Linked DNA regions of Sus scrofa. The protein of the gene in region 1 interacts with the protein of each later gene in a pairwise test. Links are inferred from orthologs where the notes say so. Each region holds a gene or a part of one and is shown on either strand. Other genes may lie near its edges.

Region 1 (4,991 bases):
CTGCTTGAGCACCCTGGGTGGTCTCAGTTTGGGCATCACCTTTAGGAGGAAAGTCAAGGACAGCTCCCCTTCTTCCTCTGGCACCATATTTGTAGGTGTTTAGAGAACTAGAATTTGCAATCTGAATTCTAACTCTTGGCCCTCAATCTACCACTAACTTATACGTGGTTTTGAATAAGCCAACCAAACTAAGTCTCCTGAGAAAATTTTGAAGAGTAATAAAATACCACAAGTCAAATAGGAATATGATCAGAATTCATGTGAGAATGCTGTTTAAATGAGAAAGCAAGAGTGTCTTCAAAAGGAAAAAAAAATTTAAACTCAAAATATTTAATTTCGAAGATTGATTTTATTTTTGCATATGGAGGTTCCCAGGCTGGGGGTCTAATCGGAGCTGTAGCCGCTGGCCACAGCCACAGCCATGTCAGATCCAAGCCGTGCCTGCGACCTACACCACAGCTCACTGCAATGCCGAATCCTTAACCCACTGAGCAAGGCCAGGGACCGAACCCGCAACCTCATGGTTCCTAGTCAGATTCGTTAACCACTGAGCCACAACAGGAACTCCTTGAAGATTGATTTTATAATCAAAATGATTAAATGTTAAGGGACCTTATTTCTCTCAAGTTATTTCCAATAATAAGGTTCTATGAAAATTTTCTAGGATAAAAACACCAAAAATGTTCATTAAAAATGTGAGTTTTGGGTGTTCCTATTGTGACTCAGTGGTAATGAACCCAACTAGTATCCATGATGATGCAGGGTCAGTCTCTGGCCTCACTGAGTGGGTTAAGGATCTGGCATTGCCATGATCTGTGGTGTATGTAGGTCATAGATGTGGCTCAGATCCTGCATTGCTGTGGCTGTGGTGTAGGCCAGCAGCTGCAGCTCCAATTCAACCTCTAGCCTGGGAACTTCCATATGCCACAGGTGGGGCCCTAAAAAGCCAAAAAAAAAACCCAAAAAGTTGGTCCTGGGATTCCCACTGTGGCGCAGCGGGTGGTTTAAGGATCTGGTGTTGTCTCTGCAGTAGCTCCAGTAACTGCTGAGTCAGGGGTTCAGTCCCTGGCCCAGAAACTTCCATATACCTCCAGCGTGGTGAAAAAAAGGAAAAAAAAAGGTGGGTTCTGCTACATATTGCGTATGTGGGAAGACTAAATGAGGTACATGGAAATTTTTAATAAATTAGTAAATTTATTATTCCCAATACCATGGAAAGAGGTCTGTCTAGGGAACTACAGGTTATATATTGTATTCATAATATACTATAAGTATTCTTAAGTATGATATTATTTTCATTCTATATAATACCCCACTGAGAAGTCAGATAATAAAAAGTCACATATTAACAGTAGTTTCTCTTCTCTCACAGTTCTACCTTTGAGGATTTAATACATTTGTATCTACAAGCAAACAGCTGGAATACAGCTTCAGGTGGGTTCCTTATAGAGGCCTTTCACTAAATGAGAAAAAAAAAAAGTTCTAAAAGGGGCCTGGTACAGGAGGAGAGGAAAAATCACTTTCTACAGATTTAAAAGTACAATTAGAGAACTCGAAGCACCAAGGTTTATTAAAGCCCAAATAATGGCATTAGGTTTTTTGATAATAAAATAATTTTTAAAAAGCTCATCCTCTAATTTAAATCGAAAAAACAAACATAACCATTCTGAAATAATCCCAAAGGGAAGAAAATAGGTAATGTCCACACTAATTTCCTTTGAATTTAACTGGAGTATAATTTTTTTTTTTTTTAAGGATTTGGTCTTCATATAATATACTTAAAAAAGAACAGAACGATGATGGAAAATAAAAGCTTTATTTTCAATGCTGGGAGACACGTCTTTTGTTTCACTCCCATTACCTCTTATAGTATTTCAAGTATTAGTTCATCCCCAGATGATCCAGGGGCAAAAATGGGCTTTGCTGTTTCATCAACTCCACATTTGCCTGAGATCATAAAACTGCTTCATTATGTTATTAGTTCAAAAGCTCTTCTTGGTAGTTCCTGGATCTCCTCCCAGGCCCTTCCCACACACACACACACACACACCACACACACACACACACACACACACACACATCACCTTTCTCAAACCCTTAAAGCAAAATTCCTAAATAACCCCCAAGATGAAGATGAAAGATGCAGAAAGACTGCACTTTGATTTCTCTGGAAAAGTTCACTCTCCCCACTCATCACCTCCCCTCCCCCCCACATGCCACTCCTATTTTTTCAGTGTGTCCTCAAAACTATTAACAGAGGTGGGGGTGAGTAAAACTCAATGTGTCTTCTTGTGTCTGTGTTTTGTGTTAAAGAAAAAGGTGTGTGTGTGTGTGTGTTGAAGAGACAGGAAGTTTTATGTTGTGTTTGTTAAGTAGGGAAGGGAAGGAGTAGAACACATTTCTCCCTTTGAAGATATTTTAACTTATTAGAAACATCAACCAGAAACTAAGTATCTAGCAGACTAGTAATAAATATATCCTAGCTGTAGGTGAGTGAAATAAAAAGTTCAAGTGCCTCTGTACAGGGAAGTTATTAAAATTATCATTCAAATAAGAAATGGGATTCAAGGTGTGTCTTTCAAACTTTGAATGTAACCATTTCTAGAACCATTCCTGGGCTGGCAGGCAGAACAAAGAATGCCAGATGCTCTGCAAGAGATGCTCAATGTCAGCTGGCACTGGGAGGAACAAGCCCCCACTTGGTACCCAGAAATGCCAGCTAAGATGCATCAGCTGGTAAGCCCTGGGGCAATCCGGGAAGCAGAAGGATGGGAAAATGAGCCCTGCTTGCTCAGGCTGCTTACTTTCTTCTCTACCCAGCCATGGACACACCTACTAACTCCGGTTTTACAAAAAGCAAAGCTCCTGCATGTTCTCCAGCTGGACTCAGGAACACAGGCAAAATCATGCATAACATCGCATAAGCTTCTTTCCTTCCACTCATCTAAGGGCACCCTGAACTATCCTGACCTGACTTCCCCCAAATATGCCTCTGGAGCAGATCAGTTTTGAAAGCAGCCTCAGGAGTAAAGGCACCAGCAGCTTTTCACCCACTCCTGCCACGATCATCCGCTGGCACCCTGAACAGTGGCTGGAGACACCTCAGAGAAATCGCGCGTCGCCTTCCACTTACTTGGAGTTGCAAACGTGTGGTGCGCGCTCAGGCTGCCTTTGTTGATGGGGCGAGGTTTCCTGCCTGGAGTCCAGGTACCCCAGTCGCTGCTGCTCGCGGAAGCGGCTGCTCCCTGACTGCCACACGGTGACTCACAGGTCTCTTTCGTCCCCTCTCCCCACTTTGGCTTTTCCTCTGCTCTTCGGCTCCCTTGGCGGGATTTTCGGACTGGAAGGCGGGGACCCCGATCCTGCCTTGGGCTCGAGCACGCCCAGACTGGGAGGGAACGGAAGGGAAATGGAGAATGGGAGGGATGCGGGAAGCGGGCCGGGAGAGGACGCGAGCTGGGCGAGGGAGGGGGCGCGCCTGGCCCTCGCGAGCTGATTGGGAAGCTCATTAAAAGCAGGCTTCTCCAGGGGCCTCTCTCCCCGCCGGCGCCAGCACGGGGATTTGAACCCAGGGGCCAGAGCAGGAAACAAAATTTCTTTTTTCAGCAGAGACCTGGGCATTGTCTCTTTTCCCAACTTTGTGCGTGACCTCGCTTTTAGGTGGGCGCATACTCCAGCCCATGTCATATCAAGTAGGACATTTTAAACAGACACTTATGGCATTTCAGGTGACAACTTTGGTCTCAGGTGTTTGTTTTGTTTTGGTTTTGGTTTTAATGATGCTGCGTGAAAAACACAATCTTCAAAGCCAGGCTCTCATTTGCCCCCCCCCCCCCCACAGCTCCCGTCACTTCAGCTGTCAGTTCCATCCCACCTGTGAGTCACGAAATGTGCAAAGGAATTTTTTTTGCACTTGTCACAAAGAGTGACAGATGTCTGAAAGTTCCCAATGAAATGCCGCTTTCCTTTGGGGGCTCTTTCCTTTTCTGGCTTCCTTGGTGCCTTTGACACCCAAGAATTTAGGAGATTAATCAACGTCGCCCAAACTCTGAGGTTTGGAAAACCCAGAGGCTGGGCTTCCGTGGCTTTCTGTAATTTCCATTTTGTTCGAATGAGGGAAAAAGCTAAGTAATATACCTAGGATTGTTTAAGTAGCACATAGTTGAATATTTGTGATATAGATGAGATCAAATTATTGTGTAAAATATTTAAATGTAAAACCAATTTTCCCAAACAAAAAGGAAGTTTTGAGATTCTCCTCTGTTCTTTCGTTTTTCCTGCTCCTGGTCTTGCTCCCTTTACTTCCTTTTAGCTTATTATTTGGTGCCCACCCCAAAAGTGGTTGCAAAATACGTTTCTGTGTGCCGTACTTCTGAGGTTACATCCTTTCAATTCAATTTGATGAATATCTATGAAGCGCCTTATATAACTCTTAAAATTTACTTTAAACTCTACCTAAAAGCCCAAACAAGAAGCTCTGTGTTATGGGAAGTAGTTCGTAGGACTTTGGGCTGTGTGGATAAACACACCGTGGTGGGGCTACATTGGGCAGAGAGGTGTGTCTGCAAGTAGAGCTTCTCATCAATGAACTAGTCAGCCCTTTCTTTTCAAAAGGAGCAGCATCGGATAGTGACTGGCCCACCTCCAGTCTCTCCCTGTAACTAAACTCTCCATACACCTGCCTCACGCCATCTGCCAATGAAACGAATGAATAAGGAACTGTCTTCCTTCCACACACAGACTTCAGGTCACCTGTTTCCTTTTGTGATTCCAATTCCTCAATGAAGTAAAGCAATGTGGGTTTTCTTCTGATTTGGCCTGTATAAATTGTGGACGGAATGCACGTCATCATTTTTTGTTATTTTTTCCCCCAGCCCCCTTCCTGAAAGCCTTCTCAATGTTCACTATCACTCCATAGCAGTGGCACATCCAGGCCTTTAAAAAGGAGTTACAGGAGTTCCCATCAAGGCGCAGTGGAAACGAATCCGACC
Region 2 (5,197 bases), on another chromosome or scaffold:
GGAGCAGCGGTCAGCAGCCTCGGTCCTCTCTGCTGCCGCAGCTGTCCCGACTGAGGCGCCCGCCGCCCGCGCGCCCACCGGATGCTGGGAGAGCGTGTGTGCTGGATAGTAGGGCGCAAGCGCGCGCCCTAGCCCCACCTACATCGCGAGGCGGAGCGCAGGGGCGCAGACTTCCTCTGCGCGGTCGCTTGAACCACCCCCGTCCATCATTGGCTCTTAGTGGTGAGAGGGCGGAGCCTTCGGGAAGGCTAGCGGGGGAGGTGTTTCCAGGGGAACCCACCCCGCAGGCGCCTCGAATCTTTTCTGCGGCTCTTTGTGCCAGTCGTTCGTTTGGGCTTCTAGCTCCTGTATTAATTTGTCATTACCTCCTCCCAACCTTAATTGTGTATTTGGCTAGTTTTGCAAGTTTTTACCTTCACCTAAGGCGCTCCGTTAGTGGTCGCTTACGAAACCTCAGGCACTTATTCCATTACCAACATCCTGCTCATCTTCTAGCATCTAATGGTTAAAGGTCCTCCACATATACCAGCTGAATCCAGTTAGACAACCAAATTAAGAAGACATTTATTTAAAAAGCAGAAATGTAAGCAAGCATCATTGAGAAAGCTTCAGTAAACCGATGCAGAACTTCAAACAACAGGTGTGTTGGAACTGTGCCTTACCTGCATGTAGTATTGTCAGTTAAAAAAAAAAAACAAAAAACACCTTGAACCGTCTAAGGCACACAGAAAGAAAAACCTAAGAAAATTAAAACTGGTCCCTAAACCTACGTCTTTTATTTCTGCAAAATAAATGAAAATAACCCAGGGTGTTGAGTAAACCCAGGGTGTTGAGTACATGCATTTTAAGTTGAATAAAAATGAATTAGGAAAAAAAAAAATGAATTGGGAGAACACTCTGGCAACTTGAATGCTAATGGTGGTCATTTAATAGGGAATGTCTCATTACTGACCTTCGATTTCTTTCTCTCTTGAGCACATCCAGCGTAATCCTACGTTAGTCTTCATTTTTGCTGTTCCCTGTACCTGGAGTGTTTTCCCAGTTCTCCAAATCTACATGTGAAACAGAGGTCTTCCCTAACCAACCCAACAAATTTACCGCCCCAATCACAATCAGAACACCCCATTTTTTTCTACACAGTGCTTGCCATTAAGTAGAACTTGTTCATTTACGTATTAGTTTACCAGTTTATTGTCTGTGTACCCCAATACAAGGTAATGAAAGCAAAAGTTTTGCTGGTCTTTATAGTTTGTGTGTAATAAATACTTGTTTACTATTATGCACCTACTGTAAACAAATATCTTAGTATTCATTCTTATGGATTGAATGAATGAAATAACGAACTCGCGGATGTTTGGGTGGGTGAATATATGAATAAATACAGTGAGAGGGTAACAGTCGCCCCCACTCAAAGACCGCCTGTGATCCTCTGGGCGCCAGATACCCAAAAGCAGCAGGTGCACCACGTGGCGGACACGGTGCCACGTGACGGGCTCGGCCGACCCACAAGAGTCCACCACTGTCCCACCATGCACCGCTCCATTTCGGCCTAGAGGACAAGTTGATCCGGATTTCCGGCCTCCGTTCGGTCGCAGAGGTCAGTTGCCCTAACGACGAGCTCGTTCCCGCCTCTACATTACGTCACTTCCTCCTACTCCCGCCTTGATAATTGGTGCGCCTGCGCAGAATGAAATCCAGCGGCCACCGGCTCCTTCTGCGCAGGCTGCGGGGCTGGGGGCGGAGCGGGGCTGGGGGCGGGGCCGGGCAGTGCCGCGGTGCGCAGGCGCCGCCGTCGGTGGGTCCGGGTTCGGCTGCTTGAGAGGTGAGTCGCGGGTTCGGCGCTGAGCCGGATGTACCTGGGGTCAGTGGCTCGGGGCTCCTGGGGTTCCGGGGTGGGTAAGAGGACGTCGATCTGGGGCGGGGACGCCGCAATTGGGGGAGTGTTGTGAGTGAGCAGCGCGGAGGGAAACTGAGGGCAGGAGGTATCGGGCGGGCCTTTGCCCGCCGGGATCTCCCTCCCCTGGACCCTAGGCCCGGGAAATGCGGGTTCGCAGGTCCGTGAGTGGATAGCAGGAGGTAAAGCGCCCCGCACGTAGTAAGCGCTCGCCGAGTGGCCGCTGCTTCCCGGAAACACGGTTCTTTTAAGCCGGAGTCCCTCTGTTCCTGGGGTTCAGGTCGGGGTTCCTGTCCCAGCGCCGCCTCCACCTTGGTCAGTCTCTTGGCGTCTCGGAACCTCAGTTTCCCCTTCTGTAAAACAGGCGTTGTCACAGCCTCTGCCTAGGATTGGGGGGCTTCCCATGAGAATTAAAGTCGCAGAGACCCCAGCGCAACGTGAGAACACAGGAGGGGTCTTTTTTCACACTGAGGGCCTCTGCATGGTGTGCTGAAGTGAGACAAATCTGGGGTTGAAGACTAGGTCCTCCACCCCTGCTGGCTGTGGCCTCTTGGGCAAGTCGCTATCCGTCTCCCCCAGCCCTTTCCTTTTAGAATAGGGACTGTAGAAGTGTATGCTTCTTAGGGTCATTGTGAGGTTAAGTACACCTGGAGCATTCTTTAATCGGGTTCCTGCTACTTGTCTTCCTAGACGACAACTGGTTTTGTTAAGTGGCTGGAAGTGTGTGCGCTCTGCATCCCTGCTGAGTGATGTTCTTATTTTTTTTGGTGTTTGGTTTGCTTTTCCTCTCCCTAGACCAGTGGTTTTGTCCTTTTAGCGGACACTAGGCAATGTCTGAGGACATCTGTGGCTGTCACAACTGGGGGTGCTCCTGGCACCGAGGGGGTGGGGGCCATGTATGCTGCCCCATACCCCACAGTACCCAGGATGGGCCCACAGAGAACAGTCTGGCCCCAGATGTCCATGGTGCCAAAGCAGAATCCAACCCTAGACTAGTGATTCTTCACCAGTGTGCTTGCTGCACAGAGGCAAGGGGTGTGTGAGCCCCTGAGAAGTCACGTGCAAGGTTTTGTGTGTGTGCCCACTTTTGTGGTTGAGGAACGGGTATCTTGGAGTTCAGACTCTGAAATCAGACCATTTAGAACTGATTTGCATTTTAGCTGGGTGACCTTGGGTGGCACCCCCATCTTTAAAAGCCTCATTTTTTTGTTCTATAGAATGAGTTAGATTAAACAAACTGTAACCGGGGGGGTCAGGTCACCCTGCAGTCTGTTTTAGTGAAAGATTTTGTGGGAACACAGCCCACATACCACAGACGTGTTACCTGTGGCCTGAGAAGCTGGCCCTTTTCAGAAAATGTTTTGCTGACCCCTGAAATAAGCTTTTGCATATACAGCACTCGGGTCAGGGCATGAAAAGTCCTGAACACTCCAGGAATTTCACCTGAGGTTTATAATTCATTCTCCCATGGCTCTGGATCGGGTTAAGCTCTGACCTGGATTAAGAGCTGTTCTTACTTGGTTCCTGCATTTTCTAATTTTTTTTTTTTTCTTTTTAGTGCCACACCTACAGCATATGGAGGTTCCCAGGCTAGGGGTGGAATCGGAGCTACAGCTGCCGGCCTACACCAGGGCCACAGCAACTCGGGAACCGAGCCACATCTGCAACCTACACCACAGCTCATGGCAACACCCAGATCCTTAACACACTGAGCAAGGCCAGAGATCGAACCTGCAACTTTATGATTCCTAGTCTGATTGGTTCCCACTGCGCCACAGTGGGAACTTCTAATTTTTTATTTTTGTTTTTTTGCCAAGACCCAATGCTGGCCCCTGTAGCCAATGCACCTGAAAGTGAAAGAATAAAGGGGACGGCTGATAGGTGGACAAATACGGATTTGTCGTTCTCTACTGACGAGGAAACCCAAGAGAAATGATCTCCCAAGTGAACCTGGCCACGTGGCTCTGAACATGACAGGGATCCAAAATTTTCCTGAGTCCATATGGACTGGAGAAGGTGATCCGTCCAATGGCTCACAGTCTGTGGGTGGTGGGCAGGCCAGGAATAGGCTGGAAGGCCTTGTAGGAGATGCTGGGCCAGAGGCAGGGCTGGCACTTGAGCTTGCTGGAGGAGGAGGGTGTCTAGCTCTGTCTGAGGAGGTGACCTACCGGCTTGGTTGAAGGGAAAGTGTATGGTCCCTGGTGACGGGAGGAGAGGAGAGGGTTGGGTGTAGGCAGAGCATGGGGGCTTTGGTGGGGTTTCCACTCAGGAGGTTTCAGGGAGCCATGGAAGGTTTGCAGTGTGGAGAGCAGGCTTGAGATGGAGTTCCAGCTTTCGGGATGGCCCTCTTCTGAGGATCTAAGGTGTCCGGGGAGGGGAGGGAGGAGCAGAGGACAAGCTAGCACACACCAGGTGTTTGTGAGAAGAGCTAGATTTGGGGTGGAGGTGGGACCGGGCAGCCACTCAGAAAGAGGATGTTCTTTCCTGGGGCCCAGGTCCAGGTCACTCATATTTATTTCTTTTTTAATTTTTTAATTTACATTTTTACTTATTTAATTTTTTTTGGCTGTGCCGGTGGCATGTGCAAGTTCCCGGGCTGGGGGTTGAACTCACACCACGGCAGCAACCCAGGATCCTTAACCTGATAAGTGACAATGCCAGATCCTTAACCTGATGATCCACAAAGGAACTCCCCGGCTCACTCATCTTAGTGAGGCATGCATCTTCCCCTTCGAATGTTCAGTTTTGGGCAGGGAAACAAAAGGAATGGGGTGTTTTTAATAATAAGATGAAAAGGTGAGCCAGCCTCTGTCCCCGAGCCAGGCTCTCACCTGCAGACCAGCACCTGGGGTTCCTCCTGAGCCTCACAGAACCCAACAAGTCGTGATTGTTCCTCAGTCCCCAGGGCCCAGTGGAAAAGCGCATCTTCGCCTCACTGGGCCACCAGGAGCAGGAAGGCAATGAGGGAGCAAAGAGAGTCTGTGCCACGGGGGAGGAGAGCGGAAGTCCTCTGGGGACGCCTGTGTCCAGTAGGTGCTGAGTCCCTACTGTGGATTCAAAGGCCCTTTCCTGCAGTTCTGAGACCGAAAATACTCTCCAAACTTGGGGTTTGCCAAAAGTTTGCAGCCAAGTCATTGGCCAGAAAATCTGATCTGTGCCTACCTTCATTTTTCCCACGTGATGTTTATTGCTCATTGTCAGCTGGGGGTGGTTTGGTGACATCTGGAGACTTTTGTGGTTGTCACCAGTGAGCAGGAGGCTCCTGGCATTGAAGAGGGTGGGGACTAGGGGTGCTGCTTGGCA
Region 3 (5,108 bases), on another chromosome or scaffold:
TTGAACCCTTTAAGATGGAAAGGACCGTGGAGTATGTGCAATGCTTCTGCAGATGACTCAAACATTCTGATGTCTGTATTTAAAGCTAGCATTGGACAATATAAAGAGTGGTAAAACTCATGCTATTGATTCAAATGTTTAATTTTTCTTTACCTAGAATGACAATAAATAGCAAATTAATGCTATTAATTAAAACACCATGACAAGTCAAAAGAGATGCTACAGAAGAAAGGGGACAGCTTGTACTTCAGTAACTTTAACGGCATTTTCCCCCAGATTTTTGAACAAGACCCTGCATTTTCTTTCTTTCTTAAAATTTTATGGAGTTCCTGTTGTGGTGCAGTGGAAATGAACCCGACTAGTATCCATGAGGACTCAGGTTTTGATCCCTGGCCTCACTCAGTGGGTTGGGGATCCAGCAGATGTGGCTTGGATCCCATGTTGCTGCAGCTGTGGTGTAGGCTGGCAGCTGTAGCTCTGATTGGATCCCTAGCTTGGGAACTTACATATGCTGCACCTGCAGCCCTAAAAAACATAAATAAAATAGAATAAAATTTTATTGGGGTATATGTGATTTACCATGTTTATTAGCTTCAGGTTTACAGCAAAGTGAATCAGTTATGCATATAAAATACATGCATTTTCATTTTGTACTGAGCTTCACAAACTGCATATGCAGGCCTGCCTAGGAATATAGCAGTGACTAAGACATGTGATACCTGTCCTGGAGCTGACAGTACTTCATAATGCCTAGAAAACCAGACTTTCTGCGCCTGGAATTTAGAACAACATTTAGAGAAAAATTGAGTAAAGAAACCTGATTACCTTCCAGGTCTGTCCTATCCCGAGATGACACTAACCACAAATTAACACGAGACAGCTTTCCTGGTTTTATTATATGATACAAGAGGTCTGAAAGTAGACAAATCAGGACAGCTCATTCCTTTTTTGTAACTACTTCGGGGGAAAAAATTGCCACCAAAACTAAACTAGTTTAACTTCTACCTTAACACTCATTTACCGCTCAGGGAACTAAGAGGGCTAAAAAGAAAAAAAAAAAAGGCCCCCGCTGGCATCTCTTGCGATGTGTTAACCACCTCCTGGGAGGCTGACCCTTAGTTCCAAAAGAAAGACTGAGTTAACAAAACAAGTCCGAAGGTGGAGAGGGAACTGAGTGCGTAACTGGATAACAATGGCTTCTAGTACAAAGGTTACACATTTCGATTCTCAGTCACAGCATGATCCTCTCACAATTTTACACAGAAGAGATTTTTGAAGGCAAAAGTAGACACACACACAAACACACACACCCGGAATCAGACTTTGGAAAGTCGGAGGACAGCTCAGCAAAGGGAGACCACTGGAGTCAAAGCAGGAGAAGTGGCTCTTCCTCGCAGTTCACATTCATTCCGTTCCCCTGCCCCCACAATTTCTTTTTCATAGTTTGCCCAAACGTTCTTGACTATTCCATTTACCTTACCGGTTCAGGACGCGTACACCAGAAGCCTGGCCTGGCCTCAGTCAAGTCCGCCTCCCCTGGGTTAAAAAGCTCAGGTCCCGCCCACTCTAAATCGCCCCGCCCCTCGCGGCAGCCAATATGGAGCGCCGCGTCTGGTTTTCTCCTATCTCTCTGTTATTTCCTGCAGTCAAATTGTTATCGCGAGACTTCGGGGCCACTATTAGCTGGGACGCGGGACTAGCCCAGCCTTTTCTTCCGCGCGTTTGTGGAGGTTGGGTGTTTTCTGGGCCTGCGCGCCCAACGCGGGTTTCTGAGGCCGGGGCTGCAACCGAGGACGCCAACGGAGACCCGTGCGCAGAGCGGGCACAGGTTGGTATAAGCCGTCCGCGGTCTGGACGGATAGGAAAGAGGACTTGGGCGCCGGGGCCTTGTGGGCGAAGGAGGGGGAGGGCCTGGCGCTTTTCACTTTTCCCGGGACGCCTGCGCGGCTCAGCGGGAGCGGAGGGCTCGCGGTGATTGTGGGCTCTGCTCTGGGCGGCAGGACTCACAGGTACAGGCTAAGCGCGTGGGCCGTTATCGGAGTTGTGGGTGTTGAAGTGCAAGTGTATTGAAGCGAGTGCACGTTTTCTCAATTAGTGGTGGTTAAGTGCGAGGTAACCGTTACCGACGCCATTTTCCTTGCACGAGGTTAGGCACTTCTGGAGACATTCGCCCCAAGGTCGCACTAAGTAAGAGTTGAAGGGATTTTGTTAAAGCTGCTAAAGAGCACTGCCTGGCTCCGTGGCCCCTTGTTGCAGAATCCCGGAACAGGAAGCGATAGGAATGCTTTCTAGTTCCCGAAAGTTTTTTTTTCTTATTTTTATCCCCACACCCGCAGCATATGGAAGTTCCCAGGCTAGAGGTTGAACCGGAGCTACAGCTGCCGGCCTACACTACAGCCATGCAGAATCCGATTTGGATCTGTGACCCAAGCAGCTTGCAGCAACGCGGGATCGTTGAGTGAGGCCAGGGATTGAACCCGCATCCTCACGGAGACAGCGTCCCGTCCTTAACCCACTGAGCCACAATAGAAACTCTTGAAAAACATTTTTGAGTTAAGCTTACTTAATTTTGATAGTGTGCTCTGTAATTATTTTAAACTTAATGTCAGGTATTCCATCATTGCCATTGGATCCAGTTTTTGTTGAATTTCTTTTTTAGGCTGTTTTCATGATTTATTTCTTAGGTTAACGCAGTTTTGAAAACTGCAATAAAACACTATGAAATTATCACACGAGTCCATGAGACATTGTGAATTTAAGATCTAGGTGATCTTATTGATTTCTTAGATTTCAAATACTGCTGCTGAAGGATTTCTTTCATCATTACTCATGTGTCATTACTAAGAATGTTAGACTAAGAACACCACAAAAAAATGAAGAATGATGACATCCTCATAAGGAAATGAAACAGAACAAAATAAGACATCTTTAATACTTTTCCCAAACTACTGTAAAATCTTCCAAGGAGATTTTTTTTTAAAGGAGACAAAGGGCACCATTTATTGTAGTCTGTACATTGAAAAGTGAGAATTCAGAACTTTGGGTTAACACCCATAGTAGCAAAGAAGTAATTTATCAAGGAAGGGGTTTCACAGTAACTTAAAATCTAGTGAGGGAAAGAGGCCATAAATGAAAATTGCAGACCTGAAGGTTAGGTTTAGGTAAGTCCAAATAATTTTTCTGGGTATACTGAGGCCAAAGGCTGCCTTTGTGGGACTTAATCTTTGTTATGCAAGAGATTTCTTGGTTCCCACCACTGTTGGCAAATGGCTTTTTGGCCATTAATTGAACATTACTATTTGTAACTACATGACTGTATGGCTAAGGGTAAAAATTACATTTTTACTGTTAGGGAAAAGAAGTTTGACACTCCTGTAGGAAATCTGGAATCTTGTTCTATAGGATGGATTAAGTAGGCACAACTGAAAGAACCCATGAATAAAATCTTTAGATGTTAGAATTAGACAGTTGTATATGAGAATATTAAAGGCCTTACATTCATTTTTGTCTTAATTTTCGTAATTGACTACATCAATATCTGCATTACTCTGATCCTAGCTGTTTTGTTGGCATTTATTTGTTCAGGGAAACTACATCACATCTACCAGATTTCATATGGTCAGAAGTCTGTTTAAAGCAAAGGACAAGTGACAATTTTGAGAGGAGCTTGAAGACTATATATCAAGATGGATTCTCACAATTGTACAACAGTTTCTGATTCAGCTTTGGAAATTGAGAATCAAAGGTAAGTGTTTTTCTAAAAAAATGTCTACATAAAAAATATGCACAACTGTGAGTTAAGTTTTATTTGGGGCAAAATGAGGATTTAAGTCTAGGAGGCAGCATCTCAAGTAACCCAGAGAGAACTCTTGCAGGGTGACAAGGGGAGGGTCCTGTAACGAAGGGCAGATAACCTCAAGTTAAGGAATTCAGCACATGTCTTTGTATGAGAAGATGCCAAGGTCTGGGTTCACTGAAATAACGTCTTTGATGTGCACCTCAGCTGTCTCTAGCCAGTATCCCCTGTTTTTCCATCCTGAGTTTCCTCAGGGCTCACTATATGGTGTGGCTGCTGGCTGGCAGGTGTTTCTTGCCTGTGTTCGCTCAGGGCTCACCAGCTCACCATCGGAGGTGGCTGAAATCACTGATGACTGACATCCTTTGCTTACTGATAGAGCAGGCAGTGTTTTTATTTCTCAGTTAACTACCACCAGGTTTTCCTGGGAACAGACTAGGTGATAATGTTTACTGTATTGGAATTGCTGTGATAGCATGCATCATTGTAGATAATGAATAGTTTGTAAGGTAATTTTTAAGAATTGGAAAAAAAGGAAAACCCAGTTTCCACAGACTTTCGCTTTAACTACTTTGGAATAGTGGGACGTGTTTGTAACCCAGGGAATCAAATCAGGAGTGTATTCTCTGGGCCAAATTGGTATTTTCCTGACTAAATCATTCTGTTGTGTAACAAGAGAATGGATATTCTGATATTTCACATTATTAAGGATGCTGGTTTATGTATGATGGAGATAACCAGTTACCTAATCCATTGATCTCACTGGGAAATCAAATCAGCATTTCTAGTATATTCACATCAGGTATCTACTAGGGCTACTCTTTTTACTTAGAGGAGACTTTGTCTTATTTAGTGGAGGCTCTAGCAGTCAACAAGGCTGCCTTTGGAACTTAGAAGATCATTTTTTGGTAAGTGCTTGGCATTATGCCACATGGCATGGGCCATTTGAGGTAGAGTGGTCAGAATTAAGTGGTTGGCTGCTACTGAGACCATTTTTTCATCTGGAGTATGTTTTCCTGCTTTGATTTGTAAAAATACTCATAATAAGCATTGGTAATATATGAGTGCAATTCCCCCCCGCCCTTTTGAGGGGGGGAGTTCCCCGGTGTTCCCTTATCTTAGCAGGTAAAGATCTGGTCCTTGGCACTGGAACTTTTGTGCATGCTGCAGGTACAACCCCAAAAAAACTTTTCCTTTTTTTTTTTTCCCCTAGTGACAGCTCTTCCTCTGGAAGCAGCTTATTTAAAACTCAGTGTGTTCCTAATCCACCTAATCCACCTAAACAGAGGCAAAGAAACCCTATTAGAAAATA
Region 4 (4,962 bases), on another chromosome or scaffold:
GGGGGGTGCTTTCTTGGTGGCGAGGAGGGGGATGCCTGTCTGATGGAAACAGATAAGTCCACTCCTACCCCCACTCTGGCCCCTAGGCTTGTCTGAAAAAGGGAAAAGTTTTTAAAAAGTTGCCCAGAGAGCCCACTGATTTTGCAGGGGGGAAAAGGGATAAAGAATTGAGGGCAAGGGGTTGCCTGGAGCACGGCAGAGGTGCTAAAAAGAGAAAGGGTGTCAGGTGAAGTTAAGGGGCTGGCTATTCTCACCTGTGTGTATTCCGAACCTGGAACGTGGCGTCTGGGGGGCTTTGACCCTGGATTTGGGTGTGGGAGAGGGGGAGCATGAAGGGATCTGAGGTCGAGATGGGTCTTTGTGTCAGTACTCCCTCCCCCTTCCCCTCCGCTTTCTAAACAACGTCGAATGTTTTTAAAATTGTGCGTTGGAAATGGAAACCCACCTCCTCTCTCTCCCAGGGCAATTTTATGTCCCTCTCAGCCCTCCAAGTCAAACGGGGGACCCGGATACACCCCCTCAGATGACTTTCTGAGGTAAAACTTCAGGAAAATATTTTCGGTCTGCCCATTATTTCTGTCTACAGAAGCGTGGGCAAAATAACCCTCCTCTGAGGCAAATGTATTCAGGCTGCCCTCCCTCGTCCTTCTCTAGGAGATGAATTTATCCGTGTTAGAGGTTTCTATTGTTTTTTTTTTTTTTCATTCCGACTGCTTTGATTCTCACCATTTTGTTTTACATTCTTACCCAAGACCAATTTTATCCCTTCCCCCTCTCCAGGCTCCTTACATTGTTAGACGTTTAAAATAATAGCGCTCGTGCAGATGGGGGAAGGGAGCAGGAAGCCAAAAACTCATTTCTTCTCCCTCCCCCTTCTGGCAAGTCTAGAGAAATAATATAACATAATATATAGATGTGATTCCTTGGGGGTGGGGGTGGGGAATGCGTGTGGGTGGTGCGGAAAATTCTGGTAGTTTCTTTGCAAAAGGTCTGAAAATACAAACCCACCCCCTGCAGGCACTACGCATGTGCAGCCGACCTATTATGGTGGTTCGTTGTGGGGGAGGGAGAGGAATTTGAGAAAAAATAAATATATGTGTGAGAGATTGATGGTGAGATTAGAAGAAGAGAGGGGCGGGCGGGAGGCGAGGCTTTCGGCCGGGCTCCTCCTGCTTTCTGGGCTGCCAGGCTCCGCCCGCCCTCCTCGCCGCCCTCCTCCCTCGCCGTCTTCCCGAGATCCGAGCCGGGATGTGGGAGCGTCTGGGCTCCGGGCCAGCATTGAGTGGCTGGTGAGACAGAGGTTGGGACTTAGATTTGCTTTCTTGCCCTCCCCTTCCTCGCCGTCTCCCTTGCCTCTCCGCGCCGCCGCCGCCTGCCCAGCCTCGGGAACCTCCTGCCGGGCGGCGGGGGGCGCGCGGCGGGGGTGGGGGGGAGTTAACTGGCTGTGAGGTCCCAGGGCTTGTGCCCCCCCCCCCCGCGGGCGGAGGCGGGGCCATTTCCCTGATCCTTAGCCAGTTGGCCTGCCCTTGCCACTGCCCCGGCAGCCTCCATTTCCATGTTCTTATTAACCGAAGTCCCCGGGGTTAGGGAGCGCTGGCTGCTGGGCACCGGCGTTTTACTGACTTCCTCCTGCAGGCCCCACTCAGTGCCCGGGCTGCCCTCACGCGCCCCCCCACCCCCACCCCAGTCTTAGAGTGTCTCCCTGCTGGGGAGGGCCCAGGACTAGGAGAAGCAGCACTGAAGGAAGGAGGTGCCAGGATTCTGAGGCAATGGAAACCGAGGCCTCCGGTGTTAATTGTGGCTAATTTTCCCTTGGCTGGTGTGGGAGGAAGGATTGTGTGTCCCAGAGCAAGGGGCTGGGCCAGGCCCAGGCTTTCCTCTCCTGCACAGCTGCCTCTGCCTGAGTAAGACAGGTCTGGCTGGTTAGTCTGGTGCCTGCTGGAGGAGGGAGGCCAAGCAGGGCCTCATGTCTGGGTGGCATCCATCAGCGTCTTCCTCCTGGTGGAGTTATGCTCTGTCGCCTAAGCCACCACAGACTGGCAGGGGTCATGGAGAATGAGGTGGGGGGACATCTGGGAAGAAGCAGCCCCAGCCTCTCTGACAGAAACATCTGGAGAGAAAGCCAGGGCCCTAGCCCTGCGGGAAGCAGGTACAGGCTGTCTTCAGGGTTTGTGCTCCTACGTGTGTGTGTGTGTGTGTGGTGTGTGTGTGTGTGTGTGAGGCTTCAGCATTTGAGCATGTGCGTGCCGTGGGTGGGGTCCAGTATCTTTGTTTGGGTCTCCCACACTCTTGACATAGGAACGGGTCAGAATGTCTGGGACTAAATTTGAAGACAAGGGGTGAGACCAGAGGACAAAGGGTAGGGCCCCTGAGTTCTCAGGGATGTGAAAATAGATTTGAAGCGGATTCCAGGCTGCTTGGGAGGAGGAGGAATGTTTAGGTAATTGTGGAGCTCTTCTCCTATGGGGTGACGGTGGTGATGCAGGAGCCAGACCCCGCCATCCTGTGGGCAAGAAGTGGGCATGACTGGCTGAGGATTTCTTTTCCTCCAGGGCTGTGCTGGGGTGACAGGAGATTTGGTGACTCTCTGAGGAATTATAAATAGAGGCCTCCCTCCTCACAAAAAGCATGTCAGGGCCCCAGGGTGTTAGCGTGAGAATCCAGGTGTCCACCTTTGGCTCTGCCTTCTCAGCATCTGGCTTAGGGAGCTGCCAGCTTGTGTCTCCCCACTCCAAGTGCTGGGGTCAGGCCAGGCCAGCAGCTGGGCATGGCTTCCCCAGTTCCTGGGCAGGATGCCAGCTGGCTAAGTGAGGGGGAAGGCAGGAGGAGCCCTGGCGGCGACTAAAAGGACCTGCCACAGTCAGAGCCCGTGGCCTAGAGCCTGGTCCCTTGTTAGTAGGAGGGGAGAGGAGGGAGTGGTTTGGCTGCTCTTCCCTTCTGACCCCTGACCTCCCATTCAGAATCCGAGCATCCCAGAGTACTCGAAACACTCGGGTGCATCCAGCGAAGGGCGGCAGGATTTGGAAGAGTTAATGCTGGGAGTTCCTAGAGAGTGAGAACCTAGGAGGTGAGGCAGTGGAGGGGCCGCAGAGCCTGGGAACATAGAGACTTAAGTTTTCTGGTGCCCTCTGCTCCAAAGATAAAGATGACATTCGGCTGCTGCCTTCAGCATTGGGTGTGAAGAAGAGAAAACGAGGACCCAAGAAGCAGAAGGAGAACAAGCCAGGGAAACCCCGAAAACGCAAGAAGCTTGTAAGTGTGCAGGACTCCTGTCTCTACAGCTAGGCCCGGGGACCCATTTGCAGAGGCCTGCGCTTCCTCTGGTCCTGATTACCAGGGGGGGATCCTGAAGTCGGGAAGGCCTGACCCCCTCTACGCAGCCCCCTCAGCTGGGCTCTGGCACCCTAGCCTCCCTCACTGCATCCTAGTGGGGAGCCCTGTGGGCCCCGTGACTGGCCTTGGAGGAGAGAGGAGCAGGTGAAAGCCCAGGCTCCGGCAGGAGACTGCATGAATTCCGAGCCCCGTAGTCCTCTGTCTTCTCGAGCAGTTCGCTTGGCTCTCTGTGCCTCGGTTTCCTCATCTGCAAAAAGTGGGTAGAAATAGATAAGTTACTATCTCATGGGGTCGTTGTGAGGTTTGAAAGAGACAGCACACGTTACGTGCTTAGAAAAGTTTCTGGCACATGGTAGGGCTAAAGAAATTCTATTTTTATTTCTCTCCCTTAGGACAGCGAGGAGGAATTTGGCTCTGAGCGAGATGAGTACCGGGAGAAGTCGGAGAGTGGAGGCAGTGAATATGGAACCGGACCCGGTCGGAAACGGAGAAGGAAGCACCGAGAAAAAAAGGAGAAAAAGACAAAGCGGCGGAAAAAAGGGGAGGGAGATGGAGGGCAAAAGGTGAGTAGATTTAGGGCGTGAGGGGAGAATTAGGATCATTGACAGGTGGAGGCGGAGGAGGGAAAGCCCTGAGCGAGGGGACGAGCAGATGCTAAGTGGAAAGTCTAGTTTCCCCTGGGGAGGAGGGGAGCCGGCTGGGAAGGGGGCAGGGGCAGAAAGCCTCGGGAGGCTGCTGGGTGCCCCTGCTGGGTGCCTGGGTGTGTAGAGGAGCATGTGGGGGTCCAGGACTGGGGCTGGAGAGGCGCCCTCCTCACGGAAGCCCGGTCTCTCCAGCAGGTGGAGCAGAAGTCGTCAGCAACCCTGCTTCTGACCTGGGGCCTGGAGGACGTGGAGCATGTGTTCTCCGAAGAGGACTACCACACTCTCACCAACTACAAAGCCTTCAGCCAGTTCATGAGGTGCGGTAGGACTGGGGAGTCCCTGCGAGCAGACACATTTAATAGGGGGAGGCCCTGGATCCCTCTGGAACCTGGTGGAAGATAAGAAACTGCTCTCCAGAGAAATTCACAGCATGTACACATCAAATTCCGCATGTCATCTCAGGAAATTCCTGGGCTCCTGAGGATCCAAGGACTCCAGTCAGGAACCCTTCACTGGGGGGGGGGGGGGGGGACACAGTTCCACTGCCAGGTTAGAAAACTGTAGTGACAGACTCAGGGAGGACTGATGGCCTCCTGCTCCAGCAGTTTCCCCTGGCTGACTTCTGTCTAGACTGGAGTGGAGAGAGAACATTCGTGTCCCCCAGTGTCCTTTGCTCAGGGATCTAGCCATCTGTCCCTTCCTTAGACACCAGCAGTGATGGAGGAGGCATTGCTGACAGTGGGACCTGAGCGTCAGCGCTCCTGAAGTAGAGTAGAGCACAGCACAGATGCCTTTTGAGGAAGCAGGCACTTCAGCAGAGCAGTTTCATGCTCTGGAGGCAGCCTACTGGGGTTCAGGTCCTGATGGCATCTGGTTCCACTCACTTCTTGGATCTTTAGTTTCCGCATCTGTAAAATAGGCACACCCAGAGGACGCACCTCATGGGATCTTGTGGGGATTTGATGGGATAATGGTTGAAAGCCCA

Evidence for each region. The genes of interacting proteins can lie anywhere in the genome.
Region 2: the proteins of PTN (region 1) and SGTA interact in a two-hybrid assay, tested with the Homo sapiens proteins (2 studies listed by BioGRID and IntAct). The link is inferred for Sus scrofa from reciprocal best matches to the Homo sapiens genes PTN and SGTA.
Region 3: the proteins of PTN (region 1) and TAF1D interact in a two-hybrid assay, tested with the Homo sapiens proteins (2 studies listed by BioGRID and IntAct). The link is inferred for Sus scrofa from reciprocal best matches to the Homo sapiens genes PTN and TAF1D.
Region 4: the proteins of PTN (region 1) and CHD3 interact in a two-hybrid assay, tested with the Homo sapiens proteins (2 studies listed by BioGRID and IntAct). The link is inferred for Sus scrofa from reciprocal best matches to the Homo sapiens genes PTN and CHD3.

The regions. Positions count from the first base shown.
Region 1 is NC_010460.4:12,218,189-12,223,179, reverse strand, and holds the start of PTN (pleiotrophin precursor), read right to left. Parts: upstream 3,381-4,991; 5' UTR 3,134-3,380; intron 3,124-3,133; exon of another isoform or gene 2,606-3,123; intron 1,435-2,605; exon of another isoform or gene 1,373-1,434; intron 1-1,372.
Region 2 is NC_010444.4:75,877,366-75,882,562, forward strand, and holds the start of SGTA (small glutamine-rich tetratricopeptide repeat-containing protein alpha), read left to right. Parts: upstream 1-1,766; 5' UTR 1,767-1,822; intron 1,823-1,840; exon of another isoform or gene 1,841-1,861; intron 1,862-5,197. UniProt on the Homo sapiens protein: Co-chaperone that binds misfolded and hydrophobic patches-containing client proteins in the cytosol. Mediates their targeting to the endoplasmic reticulum but also regulates their sorting to the proteasome when targeting fails.
Region 3 is NC_010451.4:26,163,852-26,168,959, reverse strand, and holds the start of TAF1D (TATA box-binding protein-associated factor RNA polymerase I subunit D), read left to right. Parts: upstream 1-1,677; 5' UTR 1,678-1,828; intron 1,829-3,585; 5' UTR 3,586-3,686; coding exon 3,687-3,745; intron 3,746-5,009; coding exon 5,010-5,108. UniProt on the Homo sapiens protein: Component of the transcription factor SL1/TIF-IB complex, which is involved in the assembly of the PIC (preinitiation complex) during RNA polymerase I-dependent transcription.
Region 4 is NC_010454.4:53,137,510-53,142,471, forward strand, and holds the start of CHD3 (chromodomain-helicase-DNA-binding protein 3), read left to right. Parts: upstream 1-1,531; 5' UTR 1,532-2,055; coding exon 2,056-2,149; intron 2,150-2,464; exon of another isoform or gene 2,465-2,479; coding exon of another isoform or gene 2,480-2,579; intron 2,580-3,139; coding exon 3,140-3,252; intron 3,253-3,725; coding exon 3,726-3,896; intron 3,897-4,169; coding exon 4,170-4,294; intron 4,295-4,962.